Linked DNA regions of Elephas maximus indicus. The protein of the gene in region 2 interacts with the protein of the main gene of each other region in a pairwise test. Links are inferred from orthologs where the notes say so. Each region holds a gene or a part of one and is shown on either strand. Other genes may lie near its edges.

The links.
Region 1: the proteins of TRIM63 (region 2) and MYOT interact in a two-hybrid assay, tested with the Homo sapiens proteins (2 studies listed by BioGRID). The link is inferred for Elephas maximus indicus from reciprocal best matches to the Homo sapiens genes TRIM63 and MYOT.

What each region holds. Positions count from the first base shown.
Region 1 is NC_064820.1:150,922,898-150,930,602, reverse strand, and holds the start of MYOT (myotilin), read right to left. Parts: upstream 3,010-7,705; 5' UTR 2,811-3,009; coding exon 2,455-2,810; intron 1-2,454. UniProt on the Homo sapiens protein: Component of a complex of multiple actin cross-linking proteins. Involved in the control of myofibril assembly and stability at the Z lines in muscle cells.
Region 2 is NC_064821.1:66,565,739-66,573,713, reverse strand, and holds the start of TRIM63 (E3 ubiquitin-protein ligase TRIM63), read left to right. Parts: upstream 1-4,972; 5' UTR 4,973-5,083; coding exon 5,084-5,242; intron 5,243-6,635; coding exon 6,636-6,808; intron 6,809-7,975. UniProt on the Homo sapiens protein: E3 ubiquitin ligase. Mediates the ubiquitination and subsequent proteasomal degradation of CKM, GMEB1 and HIBADH.

The DNA of each region.
Region 1 (7,705 bases), on a different chromosome or scaffold from region 2:
GTAGAACTGCCCCATAGGGTTTCCAAGGCTCTAAATCTTTACAGAAGCAGACTGCCACATCTTACTCTCAAGGAGCCGCTGGTGGGTTCAAACCTCAGATTTTCAATTATCAACCGAGTGCTTAACCACTGCACTACCAGGGCTCCTGCATTAGGTCTGCAAGTTTCTCTATGTTAATCCTTAATTAAAGTTTGATTTGTCCAATTAAGTAAACAATTAAACCAAGTGTTTAAGTAGTGAGCTTTTTTTTTTTTTTTTTCCTTCCTAACATTGAATTCTCAGGTCAAAGTGGCAAAATTCCTTTGGGCTTATGTATCTCGTATTTCTCCAACTGTATGAAGTTATAATAGCCTTATTGTTTTTTTTTTCCCCACACCAGGCTGCCATCTTTATGAAAGTTACGCATTTGTTAAAGTAAATTAGCATTAAATAATTTTTTCAGACGGTCATAATATGAGAAGTTCTGAAAGATTATCATAACCAAGCCTATTTTACTTGCACATTGCTTTACAGGTCTTTATTTTTTCTGTCATTAATTATCCAAATCCTTGATTTTGTTACAGATAGAAAACTGAATCACTGAGCAGGTACGGTACTTACTGAATGCCACACAACAAGCTTTTGGAAAAGGAATAATTAGCATTAAAAGAGTTTCCCTCAATTTCCAGTCTTTGGTTCGATCAGTTGAATAAATGCTTGTCTAAGGGCTTTCTACCGAGGAAAAGCTAAATAAAGCTTTCAAACTTCTCTAGGTCGGGATCAAAGGATTATTTTAGAAGACAGGGCAAAGTTAAGCCCATCATTACAATGAAGGAGTTGTGCACAAATGTTCAAAGGGCCAGAGCTTTTCACCCTGTACAGCTGGACATGGAACGGGTATCAAGTGGCTATGGGAAGATTAAAAAAGTTATCTATAGTTGCTGAAAATGGAACAGCTAAAGCTGAATCTTTGATCTCTGGTTTGGGGACCTCCTATGCTTTATTTCTTATCCTCTCTACTTTTTCTTTCTTCTTAGGTCTGTGCACAAAGCTAGGTATGTGTTTGAGGCTCACTAAATACTTGTTTGATAGCTTTATTTTCTGGGTAGGTATTTAGAATAGAATTGAAAGACTTTGCTAATAAAAATATTATAATCAGAAAAGGTCGTTTTAAATGGAAAAAAGCTCATTATAGGAAACTTGGAAATAATAGGAAGCTTGATGGAAAGTGGTCATCTAGGTAGAGTGTACCTGGAAAAATCTCTGATGTGTAATAATGGTATAATGCGGATTTGGAAGAGAAGAGAGAATGGGTTCTAAATCCTTTAAGGCATTCTTTTAAAATATTAGGTCAAACCTATGAGATTGCCATTTTTGTAGTCAGTTGACTCTCAGCCACTTTAAATGGTTCAACCTACTATCTATAGAATTCTGACAAATGTTTTTGGCTTTCCTGATTTTTAAAAATATTGGCGAAGTTTCTTTGCAAGTTGAATTGTTAACGCCAGCTAAGTGTCCAGAGTTGTTGCCAGTAGAATTTTTAGAAAAATTAACTTAAAGAAGACCAAGAAATTATCAAGAATTTCGGGGAATCTGTCAATCCTGCAACAAAACATATTTCATCAGTTTGTGAGGTGCCTCTGATTTAATTCTCTGATGTTCTAGCCAAGCCAAGGAATAGGAAAACTGATAGCCCTAAGTTTGCGTAAGTACAAAGTATTCAGTCCATGTTTTAAAAAAAGCACAACCACTATGTCCTTCATATCAGGTTCTCCTAGGACAGTTTTAGAGTTGTGGAAATAGTACAAGCTTGCATAAGACTGCAGGTATTCTTCCCTGTGTTTAGATCAGCCCAGCCAGTGTGAACAGTGTGGTTTTAATTACCAAAGGAAACCTTAAGGTCATGAGTCTTCATCTACTCAAGTCTGCTTATCATAGTGAGGAACATTCATACACTTTAATGCCTGAATCCCAGATTTTTTTTTTTTAGTCAAGTGGATCAGAGGGGAAAATGGATAGGAAGAAAAGACTAACACAGAAGAAACTCAATAGTCTCTACTTATGTGAGAGGAAATCCTAGCTGAAGAAGAGCAAACAGGTGTTCTTCATCTCAGCTGAGCCCAGAACCAGAGGAATTAAATTTGTAGCATAAGGAACTTAGCTTAGAACCAGTTCTCTATTCTTGAATGTGTTAGAAATCATTTTTTTTAAGATGAAAAATAATAAGTAATTGGATGTAGTAAGAAGTTATTTGAGTTCAACTCAGCCTGAACACTGGAACAATGAGTCAAATGGCCCTTCACTGCCAGTACCCTCATTCAAGGTGTTCTTGGAGAATTACAGAATGAGACCGTGAGGTCACATTGCCTTTTTAGATAGTGAAGAATGAACTGCAGCATACCACCAAAACTCAGATATAAGCTCACTATACATGCAAGTGTATATCCACATATATATTTTTAGAAACTCACTTACTTGGAGTCCACAGTGGAAGGTATTTTTCTGCTACTGTAATCAGGCTGTGATGGTAATACGGAGCTGAGGAAGCTGGCTGGGGACTGGTTATAGGTGGCTGCAACCCTTTGGCCTGGGTTAGAGCTAGTGAGCTGCTGGGAAGAAGCAGGGAAGGCTGAGGAGGACATGGTGATGTGAGAGCTCACTGTTGAGGAAGTAGAATATCTTTGCTCTGTGCACTGGCGGGGTTGGATGGTAATGGAAGACTGTTTGGTCTGGCTAGAGAAGCTGGCAGTTTCTGATCCAGGAGGCTGCAGTCTGGAGCCACATGGGTTTTGGGACTGGATGAAGTGTTTTGGACGTTCATAGTTAAACATGTTTAGCTGGTATATGGAAGATGAAGGCAAGTTATTAGTATAGAGATTTGCTCCTGGAGGGGTGAGGTCCTGAATTTGGGGCTGCAAGCCTGGAATTACGGAAGGTCGCAAGGAATCAGAAGCAACCTTGGTCTGCCCCTCCTTGTTGAGATCCTGGGAATACTTTGATTCTGGCTTTGATGGATTGGGCTTCTCTTGAAGAATATTGTTCCTTCAAAAGGAGAATATGATTAATGTAAGCCACGATATTTGTTTAAACAACAATACTGTTTATCATCTTTTGGAGCTTATATGCTTTTAAGGTAGCCTTAAGGTGGAACTTTCTTGGCTTCTAGGCTTCTCCTTCCTTTATCTCTGTCTTTGCACAAAATGACTTTTTCCCTTAGAATAAGAAAAAGGATTCAGTAATGTTTGTCCCCGTGTGATTCTTAAGAAAGCATGCTCAGGGACTTCAAGGTGTAGGAATGCAAAGTGGAATTTTCCAAGTGATTATTATGAAAAGAAATTCTGTGATGTTACTCAGTTTGATAGTTTAATAGTCTCATGATTAGCTTTTGCCCAGAGGCCGTAGTTTCATTAGCCAGAGAAATTTTATGATTTAAAATTAATAGCAGTTAAATAACATTTCAGTTTTCATTCAGTCTGAACTTTTCCACTCATCAAAACAGGTTAATAGACCTGATATATCAATTAATTCACGTCTTGATGATCTGTGTTGAATAAAATCTTGGTAAAACAAGGAAAGCAATATTCTTCTGTAAAGAACATTGCTTTAATGTCCATATTTATTCCTTCACTTTTTCACAGTTTCGCAAAATAGAGTGAACGACTACAATTTACTGTCGTCAGCTTCGAGTGGAATCTTTTTATTATACAATTCACTGTCTCTTTATTGTGCCTGAATTCCAGATCGACCATAGTACCAAGCTAGATGATAAATTAGGAGTGTGAGCATGTATGTGTCTGTGTTACTGACTGTATTCCAGAGCCATTTGTAAACTTATTCTGAAATTTTTAGATTATACTTTCTAGTTATAAGTTTTGATGTTCTCTTACTTAGTTTTATTTTTTATTATTTTACCTACTTAGTATGTAGTTTAGACTAATTTCAAGATTATTATTAGCTCCTCTTTTACTTTTGAAATGGCAAATGGGAAGTACAGAAGCAAGGTAACCCTGAAGTTAACCCATACCTTACCAAGAAAGGGAGGGTGACATTTGTCTCTCAGTGAACTCTGCAGTGGCCTTCCTGCCTTCCTACAGGGGATCCCTGTCATTCCTTACATGAATAATTTGCCACTAAAATCAGCCTTTAAGGATTATGTTCGCCCCTGATTTCTTTCATTAGTATTGCCAGGGCTCCATGGTAAACCTAAGTAGGACTATGTATGTATAGACTTACACACAAAGACTAGCCATATAAATTATTGTAACACTGGTCCTGTCTTCATTCAAAATATCAAGTAATTTGGTTAAAAATACATTTAGTTTGTTTTGTACAATATAAATCAACACTGAGTTAATGATAAATCAAAATTTTAACTAATAAAATTAACCAAATTGTTTTAATCAAGTCTTGTAATCTTTAAGGGTTCTATCTCGAAGAAAATATCATTGTTAATAGAACTTTTCCAGATCCAAACAACTTCATCCTAGGGTTGTGTATGTATTTTTGAGTCAAATTAAAACTAGCACTTACAGGAAAGAACAAAAGTACAAACAGCCAAGAGAAAAACTCCAATGGGAGAGAAAAAAAGCATGCTTAAAAAGTTATGTATTCCCTAATTTCAAGTTTATTGATATAAGTACCTTGAACCAGAGTGCATTTCAGTAATGACCTACATTAGGCTTTTAAATTGTTGGGGAAAAACATCCAGAAGGGGGCTTTAACGAGATCTTCTCAAAAAAGACTATATTTCAAGACAGGTAATTTTATAACCATGAGTTGTATTCATTCCATTGCAGAAGTAAATCTGGAGTTTGGTTCTTAAATTCCTTTCTGGGCAGGTGAATTATTCAGACTATTTCAAATGGCAAAAAATAATCTGTTTAAGAAATATTAAATATTTTCCAGAATGATTTCCCATTTTTTCTTTATATATATGTTCAGAATGTCAACTATCTTGTACATTTTGGTATTGGCCTCTATAATTAACAATTACTAATATATTTTAAAGCCAATTAAAAGCACAGTCTTTCAACATTTCATTTCATTCATATTTCAATGAAATTTTATACAGACATTTACATAGGTAACTTTAAAAGGCTTTTCTTTATGCTTAGTACTGTACAACAACTCAATTCTGTAATAGATTCTATAATATGGCAGTATCATTTTATTCCAAATTATATTGCATAAATTTCAAAGGTTTTATAAAGGACTACCCAGTCTGCTATTAAAAAAATCTTAGACTTTTTTTTTTTTCCTATCTCTAATATAACACAGACTTACAAAAAAACTGAGAGGATATTTTGAAGCCATAGGGCATCACCACATTGCGTGAGATCATTTGCAAGGAAAAATGATGATTTAAAAATAATGACACACAGCTACCTTTTCCTCTACCCTTTCTATAATGATTTCAAGTTTCAGTGGAATGAATAAGTCATTTTCTCTTCAGATCTTTGTATAATATTACGATGTTGTGGCTTTCAAACTGTTTATCGGAAGATCACCTTTGAATACACCCCTCTGATTTGGGGGTGAAAAAAACAACCCAAACCCAAAACTGTAGTAAGAATAAAGAAGACACTTACCCGTAGTTCCAGAGGGTGCCAGCTGGGTTTTACCCACTATCAAAGGGAAGGAAAAGGCATCCCCTTCCCTCACAGCCTAATCTAGTGGCTCTGTGCTTAGTATTATAGCACCACTGACTTTTATCAGCTGCCAGACGGTGACATCTGATGTGCTTGCTTGTCCATCTACCTATGCTGGCATGTCAAAGTAAGAGTCCACAATCTAAACAATATCTCAGATGTCTTAGTGATATTTAGGGAGTGGGATTACACGGGCTTCTTTTCCAGGCCTCTTTATTTTAGGCATGAATTTGACTATGAGCTTTAGTGAGCTTATGTAGGGGGAAGTGTAGTGAATTGGGAAGCGGGGAAAAGTAAAAAGAAAACTTTCAATTTCCTTATTGTGGTGGGTGCTTTGAATTGTCCCTGTTGAAGAGAGAAGAACTAAAAGAGAAATTATCAGTGTTCTAAGACTGAAGTGCTTCTATCTAGAAAGACTCTTCCAGAGATAAGGCCGGTAATGAATGAGCTCCAAATTGATTGTATTGAATAACCCTTCATCTGATGATTTTTTTTTTGTGTGTCTTGCCAAATAAGAGTGGGGGCAGAGTGGAATTTAAGTAGTTTGTTCCAAGAAATGATGTGTGGTCTGGACAAAGGCAAGAGAGCAGTGTCATATTGATATGTCATTGGAAAGGTAGGGAGGTGGAAACACATGATTTGTTTCATTTTAGCGAGTTTTCTGACTCTGTATCACATATGCCCCCTCGACTCAGTACTTTTACTCTAAAGGAGCTTTGAAACACTTAAAAAACAACCAACTAAATGAGCAATCTATACAATTAGGGCTCTGTCTGTCAAAGAGCTTTCGTCTCCTTTCACTCCTAACAGTTGTACAGTTTCCTTTCTCTTTTTGCCATGGAGACCACCTTGGTATTTAGGTTTTCACTTTTGTGTAGGGAGATAAATAATTACAGAGGAAGAAACCTTCAAAGAACAAAAGAAGTGGTGGAGTGGAGTGGGTGGTGTGAGAGTCAGGCCAAATGAGTGGAATTATCCGCATTTAGTGGCTTCAATTTTGGTATGATTCTGTTGTGTAAAGTGTATCTATTTTTTCCCCTCCCTCATGGGTACCCCAATTTTGATTGAATTACCACATACATTAGGCTCCAAAATGTAGATGTTTGAACACATCTGAGCCATATCAAATTCTTCACAACCGACTTTGTAGCTGTGCCATCCGTTGGTGTTCAGAGAAAATTTGACAGCTGCCCACTGGGCACACAGCCATTACGTACGTAGTAGAAAAAGTGTACTAGACTTGGTGAGTAGGTGGTTGCTGACAAAATCTTATTTCAGGAGTCCCCCAAAATATTTCTCCACATCTGCTCACTGATATCTCAAATTCCATTAATAGGAACAAAACCTTTCTATCCAAATTAGAATTCCTTATAGACTTAAAATGCAAATGCAAAGGACATAATTAAAAATAAAAAGAATAGCCAACACATATAGCACTTACTGTGAGCAAGACACTATTCTAAGCATTTTAGATGTGATATATGTGACTGATATTTGGTTCTTTTCCGAGAACAGGGTTTAATTAAGGCAAGGAAGAGGGAAGATTAGATTTGAGGTCCCTTTGTACGTGAAAGTTTCAGATATGCCCCACTGGCCAAGTAGGGAAGATGTCCAGGACAAACTGGTAAATCTCCAGTTTTCCCTAGAACAGGTTCTAAAGGTACCACAGTTGAGGAAGAATTTTAGTTCCATTTATTCTTTGTCCTTTAAGCTTTGCCTCTTCTTTTCCCTAGGCTTTTTTAAGACATAGCATCAGTTGCAGTGTGATAGCTCCATGGTGCATCAAGACGAGGTTTTCACTACAATAAGGGGATCATAGGATAACTTAGGAAAGCTAAGTAGGTTCTCTTTTATGACCCTATTCCCAGTTGTTAATGGTCAGTATTTAATAATCTATTATGAATCTTTTTCTGCTTTTTAATATTTGTCTTGCTTTTTTAAGTGATGTTTTGTTCACAAATGTGGCTATTTGATTGGTTTAGTTGCTTATTTGAGAAAAATCATAGAACCCTAAAACTAAAAGATTTTTGTCTCTAAATTATCGGTAAGGTCCTTTCGTAAGTCTTTTTAATACCCCA
Region 2 (7,975 bases):
CCTTATTTAACTCATTCATTCACTCATCTATTCATTTAAAACACATTTGTTGAGTGCCTACTGTGTGCCAGGCACTGGGGGTACAGAGATGAATAGAGACAGGCACCCACAGGTCTTTAAAATCTGAAGAGTCAAACTCACAGATGATAACAGTACGACAATTGAGACACAAAGATGAAGCCATGCCTGATGCAGAGATCGGCTGGGTGTGCAATGGGAGGAAGGCAGGAGCCATAATAGGACTCCCAGCTTTTCAGTCTGTGCAAATGGGTGGATGGTAGTGCTATTCACTAAGACAGGGAAAAGAGAAGGAGGAGCATTGCATGGGCAAGATGATGTGTTCCATTTAGGATATGGTGAGTTTGAGGTGCTTTTGGGACATCCCCAGTAGGGATCTCTAACAAATTTGTAGCTTAGGGAAGAGAGAAGCCCTGAAAATAGAGATTTAGGAATCATTGGCAGATAGGAGTTGGAATCATAAATGTATATAGGATGGTTTCAGTTGCAAGTAAGAGAATAATTCAACTACAATGGCATTTGCTGTTTCACGTCTTAAGTAATCCATAAGTAGGCAGCTTCAGGGTTGAATAAACTGGCAGCACAATGAGGGCATCAATGACCCAGCAGTTTTCTATAGTTCCTCTCTGCCATCCTCAGGGTGTTGATTTCTTCCTTGGGCTTGTCCCCCCATGGTTACAAGATGGTGGCCACCCCATCCTCTCACAACTCCACTCAAAGGCAGGAATGAAGCTTTCTCCTCCCTGAGCATAGTGGTGCCGACGCGTGAACAAAACAGGAATTTTGCGAGTAAGGAAGCTAGGATAGACTTTTCTCAATCCTTATCCCTCTCTGACCCCTGGCTGGCCTGGTAGTGCTGACTGGTTATTCAGTGGAGAGGTGAGAGAGTTGGGCTCCTGAGTCGAGCATATCTGGGTTTATGTCCTGGAATCACTTCTTACTAGTTGTGTGACCACATATAAGTTTTTTGCCTCTCCTTGCCTGAGTTTCTCCATCTGTGGATTGAGGATACAATGGTTCTTATATTATTGGTTATTGAGATGATGAAATGAAACATTACATATAGACGAAATGAAATGATACATACAAAGCACTTAGCACAGTGCCTGGCACACAGTACCTAAGTGTTCAGCAAAAACTAGATATTAACATTTTATGGAGACCACCTTCCCCTTGAAAATCTCCTGCCCTTTGTCTTCTAGGTCTCCTCTTTTTCAGATAGGCTCCTTATCTTCTCCCTCCCATTTCCTCCTTTTCCCAAGTTTAGATCCTCTGCCATTACTACTCACTAGGCCTTGTCTTGTGGCTTCAGTCATCAAATCTTCTTGGGACTGATGTGATCAAATCTATTCTCCCATTGTACCTTTTTCTTGATATGCCTGCTGTATGTTCCATGGCCTCATAAGGTTCATCCTGATGTCTGATGCCACTGCTCCTGAACTCTACCCACTCTCCTGCTCCAGCACTTTATACAGGGTAGCTTCAAAGTCCCTTTGCATGAGATTCTACCCTAAAAACAACCACTGGAACTGCCTTAATGACTTCTACCTGCCAACTTGACTCAAAATGAGAAGTAACAGGTGCAAACATCCATTAATAATCAGAACATGGAATGTATAAAGCATGAAGCGAGGAAAATTGGAAGTCATCAAAAATAAAATTGAATGCTTGAAGATCAACATTGTAGGCAATAGTGAGCTGAAATGGACTGGTATTGGCCATTTCGAATCAGACAAACATATGGTCTCCTATGCCGGGAATGACAAATTGAAGAGGAACAGTGTCACATTCACAGTCAAAAAGAACATTTCAAGATCACTCCTGAAGTACACTCTGTCAGTGATAGGCTAATATCCGTATGCTTAAAAGGAAGACCAGTTTATATGACTATTGTTCAAATTTATGCACCAATCACAAATACCAAAGATGAAGAAACTGAAGATTTTTACGAACTGCTGCAGTCTGAAATAGACCAAACATGTAATCAAGATGCATTGATAATTACTGATGATTGGAATTGAAAGCTGGAAACAAAGAAGAAGGAATAGTAGCTGGAAAATATGGCCTTGGTGATAGGAACAATGCCAGAGATTGCATGACAGAATTCTTTAAGACCAATGAGTTATTCACTGGAAACACTTTTTTCAACAGCATGAACTATACACATGGACCTCACCAAATGGATTACACAGGAATCAAATCGACTATACCTGTGTACAGAAATGATGGGGAACTTCAATGTTATCAGTCAAGACAAAACCAGGAGCTGATTACAGAAAAAAACAGACCATCAATTGCTTGCATGCCAGTTCAAGATGAAGCCTAAGAAAATCGAAGCAAGTCCATGACAGCCTTGAGTACATCCCACCTGAATTTAGAGACCATCTGAAAATGGATCTGATGCACTGAATGCTAATGACTGAAGACCAGATGAGTTGTGGGAGGGATGACATCAAAGAAATCATACATGAAGAAAGTGAAAGATAGTTAAGAGAAAGAAGGAAAAGACCAAAATGAATGTGTCAGAAGAGACTCTGGAACTTGCTCTTAAGCACAGAGTAACTAAAGCAAACAGAAGAAGTAAAAGGGCTGAACAAAAGATATCAAAGGGAGGCTTGAGAAGACAAGGAAAATTATAATGATATATGCAAAGACCTGGAGTTAGAAAACCGAAAGGGAAGAACACGATATGTATTTCTCAAGCTGAAAGAACTGAAAAGAAAATTTAAGCCTAAGTTACAATATTGAAGACTTCTATGGACAAAAAATTTAATGATGCAGGAAGCACCGAAAGAAAATGGAAGGAATAAACAGAGTCATTGTACCAAAAAGAACTGGCTGACGTACAACCATTTCAGGAGGTAGCATGTGATCAAGAACTGCTGGTGTTGAGGGAAGGCATTCAAGCTGTAATGAAGGCATTAGAGAAAACCAAAGCTCCAGGAATTGATGGAGATTGAAGTTGTAAAGGATTTCATTTGACTTGGATCAACGATCAACAATCAACACCTATGGAAACAGCAGTCAAGGATCTAACAACATATTGCATTGGGAAAATCTGTTGCAAAAGACCTGTTTAAAGTGTTAAAAAACAAAGATGTCACTTTGATACTAAGGTGCGCCTGACTCTAGACATGATCTTTTCAATTGCCTCATATGCATGGGAAAACTGGACAATGAAAAAGAAAGACCAAAGAAAAATTGACGCATTTGAATTGTGGTGTTGGCGAAGGGTATTGAATATACTGTGGATCGCCAGGGGTACAAACAATTCAGTCTTGAAGGAAGTACAGTCAGAATGCTTCTTAGAAGTTAGGATGGTGACACTTTGTCTTGCTTGCTTTGGACATGTCATCAGGAAAGACCAATCACTAGATGAGCACATCACATTTGGTAAAGTGGAGGATCAGTGAAAATGAGGGAAACCCCCCACAAGATGGATTGACACAGTAGCTGCAACAATGGGCTAAAACACACCAACAATTGTGAGGATGATGTGGGACCAGGCAATGTTTTGTTCTGTTATACATAAGGTTGCCATGAATTGGAGCCAACTTGATGGCAATTAATAACAACAACAGCAACCTGCCAACATGGAAGATGTCCAGAAGGACATGGAGAAACTCTAAAATTTGTGCAGAGAGCAACATCTGGATAACTTCTATGGATCTAGGTTAGGAAATTTGTGGCTCTACCTACCTATTGCCGTTGAGTTGATTCTGACTCATAGGGACCCTACAGGACAGAGCAGAATTGCTCCACAGGGTTTCCAAGTAGCAGCAGGTGGATTCGAACTGCTGACCTTTTGGTTAGCAGCCATAGCTGTTAGCCACTGAGCAACCAGGGCTCCAATATGATAGTTATTTTTGTCTCACTTCCTGGGCTGTGAGCATCTCAGGGCAGGGAAAGGGATTACTCATTTACCTGTCACCTTGGTGCCTAATGTATAGCCAGAAAAATGTTTGATGAATAAATAAGGCTCCTGGCTTTGCCACCTACTACTTTTCAAGTGACAAGACCCTTTCTTTCTCCAAATCCCAGTTTCAAAATCTATACAGTGAGAGGACCGGATGAGCTCCAGGAAGCCCTTTCAACATGAAAGTGGAGTTGGTGGCCAAGGGATGGAGGGACTGGCTAGGAGACTCAAGAAGATTTGATGGAAGGATGGGGTCCCTATCAAGGGATAGAGGATGGGGACTCCAAGGTCTCCTGCAAAATGTTGTGCTCAGGTCCGAGGCAGAGGGATGGGCTCAGAAAGAGGGGCTCCCTTACCCCACATCTTGGGAGGTGCCCAGGACTCCAGAGAAGAGAAACAGGGCTTCCAACTTGGGGTTTGAACACCTATTGAGAATTTGCATTTCTAACAAGTTCTCTGCTGAGGATTTGCTTTTCCACCCCAGATACACTGAACCAGAATCTATAGTTTAGCAAGATCCCCAGGTGATTCTTATGTATAACTGGGTGGGGGAGGGGCTTGTTAGAAGTGCAAATTCTCAGCAGGAGTTCAAAAGGGACAGATCAGGTTCAAAGCCCTGAGGGGAAAGGACTTGATTTAGGTCAGAGGGTTTCTCTCCTGTCTTTGAGGGGGCACTGGCTATTAACCCCTTGAATCCTAATGGTTCGCTGGATGAGTCCCAGCCCTGCCTCCCCAGCCGGGGGTCGGGGGGAGAAACAATTTCTGGAGACAATTCTGAGTACCCATTCCCCCCTGCGGCCTGCCTCCGAACAGGCTGTTCTTGTTTACGACCCCCATCCTGGGAGAACAGCGATTGCTCATCCCCACGTGTGATTTGAGAGGGTGAGTCTTCCAGGCCTGGAGGAAACTCAAACCCCGGCAGCCAACTGGCATCGGAATGCTCAGCTGGTTCCCTCCCGGGGCTCATGTGACCAGGGTCCAGCTATAAATATCAGAGGGGCCTCAGCCCAAGACAGAATTCGGGCGCCAGAAGAAGGAGGCAAAGAGGCTCTGTGCGGGTGTTTTGTGACAAAGGCAAGAGCCCCAGGTCTGCCCATAGTTAGGTGCAGGCGAAGGAGGCAGCCAGGTAGGCCTATACCTACCGACAATATGGATTATAAATCCAGTCTGATCCAGGTTGGGAACCCCATGGAGAACTTGGAGAAGCAGCTCATCTGCCCCATCTGCCTGGAGATGTTTACCAAGCCAGTGGTCATCTTGCCGTGTCAGCACAACCTCTGCCGGAAGTGTGCCAATGACATCTTCCAGGTCAGTGCCCGGCATGGTCTAGTAAAACCCTTCTCACCTAGCCCAGGACCTTTCCAAACTGCTGCTGGCTCTGTCCCCTGCAAAATGAGTCCCCCCCGCGCCCCCGTGCAGAGGCCTGAGGACTCAGCTGAGGGGTGCGAGGGAGGCTGCTCTGGCCACTCCAGTCCTTCTCCATGACGCACGTTTCCCCTCTCCATCAGGCCTACAGCTCCCCCACCCCTGCCCTAAGCAAGGCAGTTGACTTTCCGATCAAGAGTCAAATGCCTCAAGAGATAAGTAGGGGAGGCAAGCGGAAAGGAGAGAGAAACCAGACCCCTGGGGCTGGAGCCAGCTCTACTGTGGCAGGGGGCCCAGAGCTTTGGGAGGAGGGTGGTGGGGAGGTACTGGACAGTAGAGGCATCTTCCCTTTTGAGGTTGGTCCCTGTAATCCTGTGGAGGGGTGGGGGTGCCCAACCGCCCTAAGAAAGGAACCAGAGTGGACCTTCTGGCTGGGAAGCGGGGATCAAGTTTCCCCAGGAGCACTTTACATAAACGCTCTTTCACTGTTTTATCTTCAAAGTAGCAACCCTAGGAGCTTGCTCTAATTATAATGTCCATTTCATGAAGGGGCATACTGAGGCTTAGATAAGGTTACTTGTTCAAAGTCACATGGAAATCCTGGTGGTGTAGTGGTTAAAGAGCTATGGCTACTAACCAAAAGAGGTCAGTAGTTCGAATCCACCAGGTGCTCCTTGGAAACCCTGTGGGGCAGTTCTACTCTGTCCTAAAGGGTTGCTGAGTTGCAAGTGACAACAGCAATGGGTTTGGGTTTTTTTTTTTGTTTGTTTATTCGAAGTCATTTATCGAATAAATGTAACTTGAACCCAGGTTCACCGATTCTTAAAGCAGGTATATTATCTTGTGTGGTTATTGATTGCTTAGTTGCTTCTCAGGTGCTCCATGTGTAAAATGGGCTGGTTCTCATGTCAGAATGGGGAGCTCCACGCAGGGGCCTATCTGTGGAAAACAGTGCCTATGGCAATTAGCCTTAAATTGTTGAATGATCTCTCACAGCTGGCGATGGAAACTGCAATGGCGGATGGCCAGTGGAATCAAAACTGCTCGTTAGCACCCTTCGTTAGCACCCTTCCTCAGGTGGCCAGTGGAATCAAAACTGCTCGTTAGCACCCTTCCTCAGGTGGCCAGTGGAATCAAAACTGCTCGTTAGCACCCCTCCTCAGGTGGTGCCCAGGGCACTGCCCTACCTACCATACCTTAGTTAGGCCTCTGGCAGGTCATATGGTTCGACAAGAATGGTTGGTGTAGGCAGGGGTGGGGACGGCTAACAGGAGATTAGAAAGGGAAAGGGCTGGCCAGGGATCCCAGGCCCCACCTCTGCCCTTGCCATCTGCAGGCTGCAAATCCCTACTGGACCAACCGGAGTGGCTCGGTGTCAATGTCTGGTGGCCGTTTCCGCTGCCCCTCCTGTCGCCACGAGGTGATCATGGACCGGCATGGAGTGTACGGCCTGCAGAGGAACCTGCTGGTGGAGAACATCATCGACATCTACAAGCAGGAGTGTTCCAGGTCAGCTGATCCTCCCACCTCTGCCATTCTGTACCAGCTCTCCCCGGCTGTCCTTCTCTTCCTACTTCCGCTCAGGATCCGGCCTCCCAGCAGTCCAGAGAGCCATTTCCTTCTGCCTGAGGAACATACGCCCCAACCCTGGCTCTCAGTATCAGTCAGTGAATAAGGAGGAGTCCAGACAGCAGGCTGCCCTTCTGGGAGATGCTGAGACAGAAAGCAAGGGAAAGATAAGACGGGAGGGGGAGAGAGAGGCACCCCGACCAGCTAAGCGGCCCTGAAAAGAGAAAGCACCCAGGGAGAATTTGGCCAGTAGTTACCCGCCGTGGGTCAGCAGGCACCAGCACTGGGATGCTTCTTCTTGGCACCTCTTAACAATCCTATGGATCGGCCACAACTTTTATTATCCCCATTTCACAGATGAGGAAGCTGAGGTTCAGAGAGGTGAATCCATTTACCCAAGGTTGTGGAAGTAGGTGATCTAGAAGGAGACACAGTTGATCTAGTTCCAAATCTGTTTATGAAAGAGCAGCTCAGTCTCAGGCAGAATTTGTGAGTGGTAGAAGTTACACAGCGTCAGGCTTCAAACCGGAGAGAGCTTTACATACAGTCAGGACATCCCGACAAGACTTCCAGGAGCCTGATCCCACAGCCCTTATGGTCCAAAACCTTTACTGAGCACCTGCTACTGGTAATGCCCTGCTGGAGGGAGGGTGGCAGACCAGGCCTGCTGAGAAAGAGCCCTGGCCTTTCTGTCTGAATCTGTTACTAATGCACTCAGGCACTGGCCTTTGGGCCTTCATTTCCCTCGTCTACAGAAGGGGACAGTGAGATCCGTTATTGTGATTGTGAAATAGGATATCGATGATTAAAAAAATACCAAATATTTATTAAGTACCTACTTTTTTTTTTTATGTGTAGGGTACTAGGAGCCCTGGTGGCACAGTGGTTAAGCAGTTGGCTGCTAACCAAAAGGTTGGTGGCTTGAACCCACCAGCCTGCTTCCGTAAAGATTTACAGCCTTGGAAACCCTGTGGGGCAGTTGTACTGTCCTATAGAGTTTTTTTTATAGAGTTGCTATGAGTCGGTACTGACTTGATGACGATGAGTCTGGTTTTTGTTTTATGTGTAAGCGCTGTACTAAGTATTTTTTAAGCATTACCCTATTTA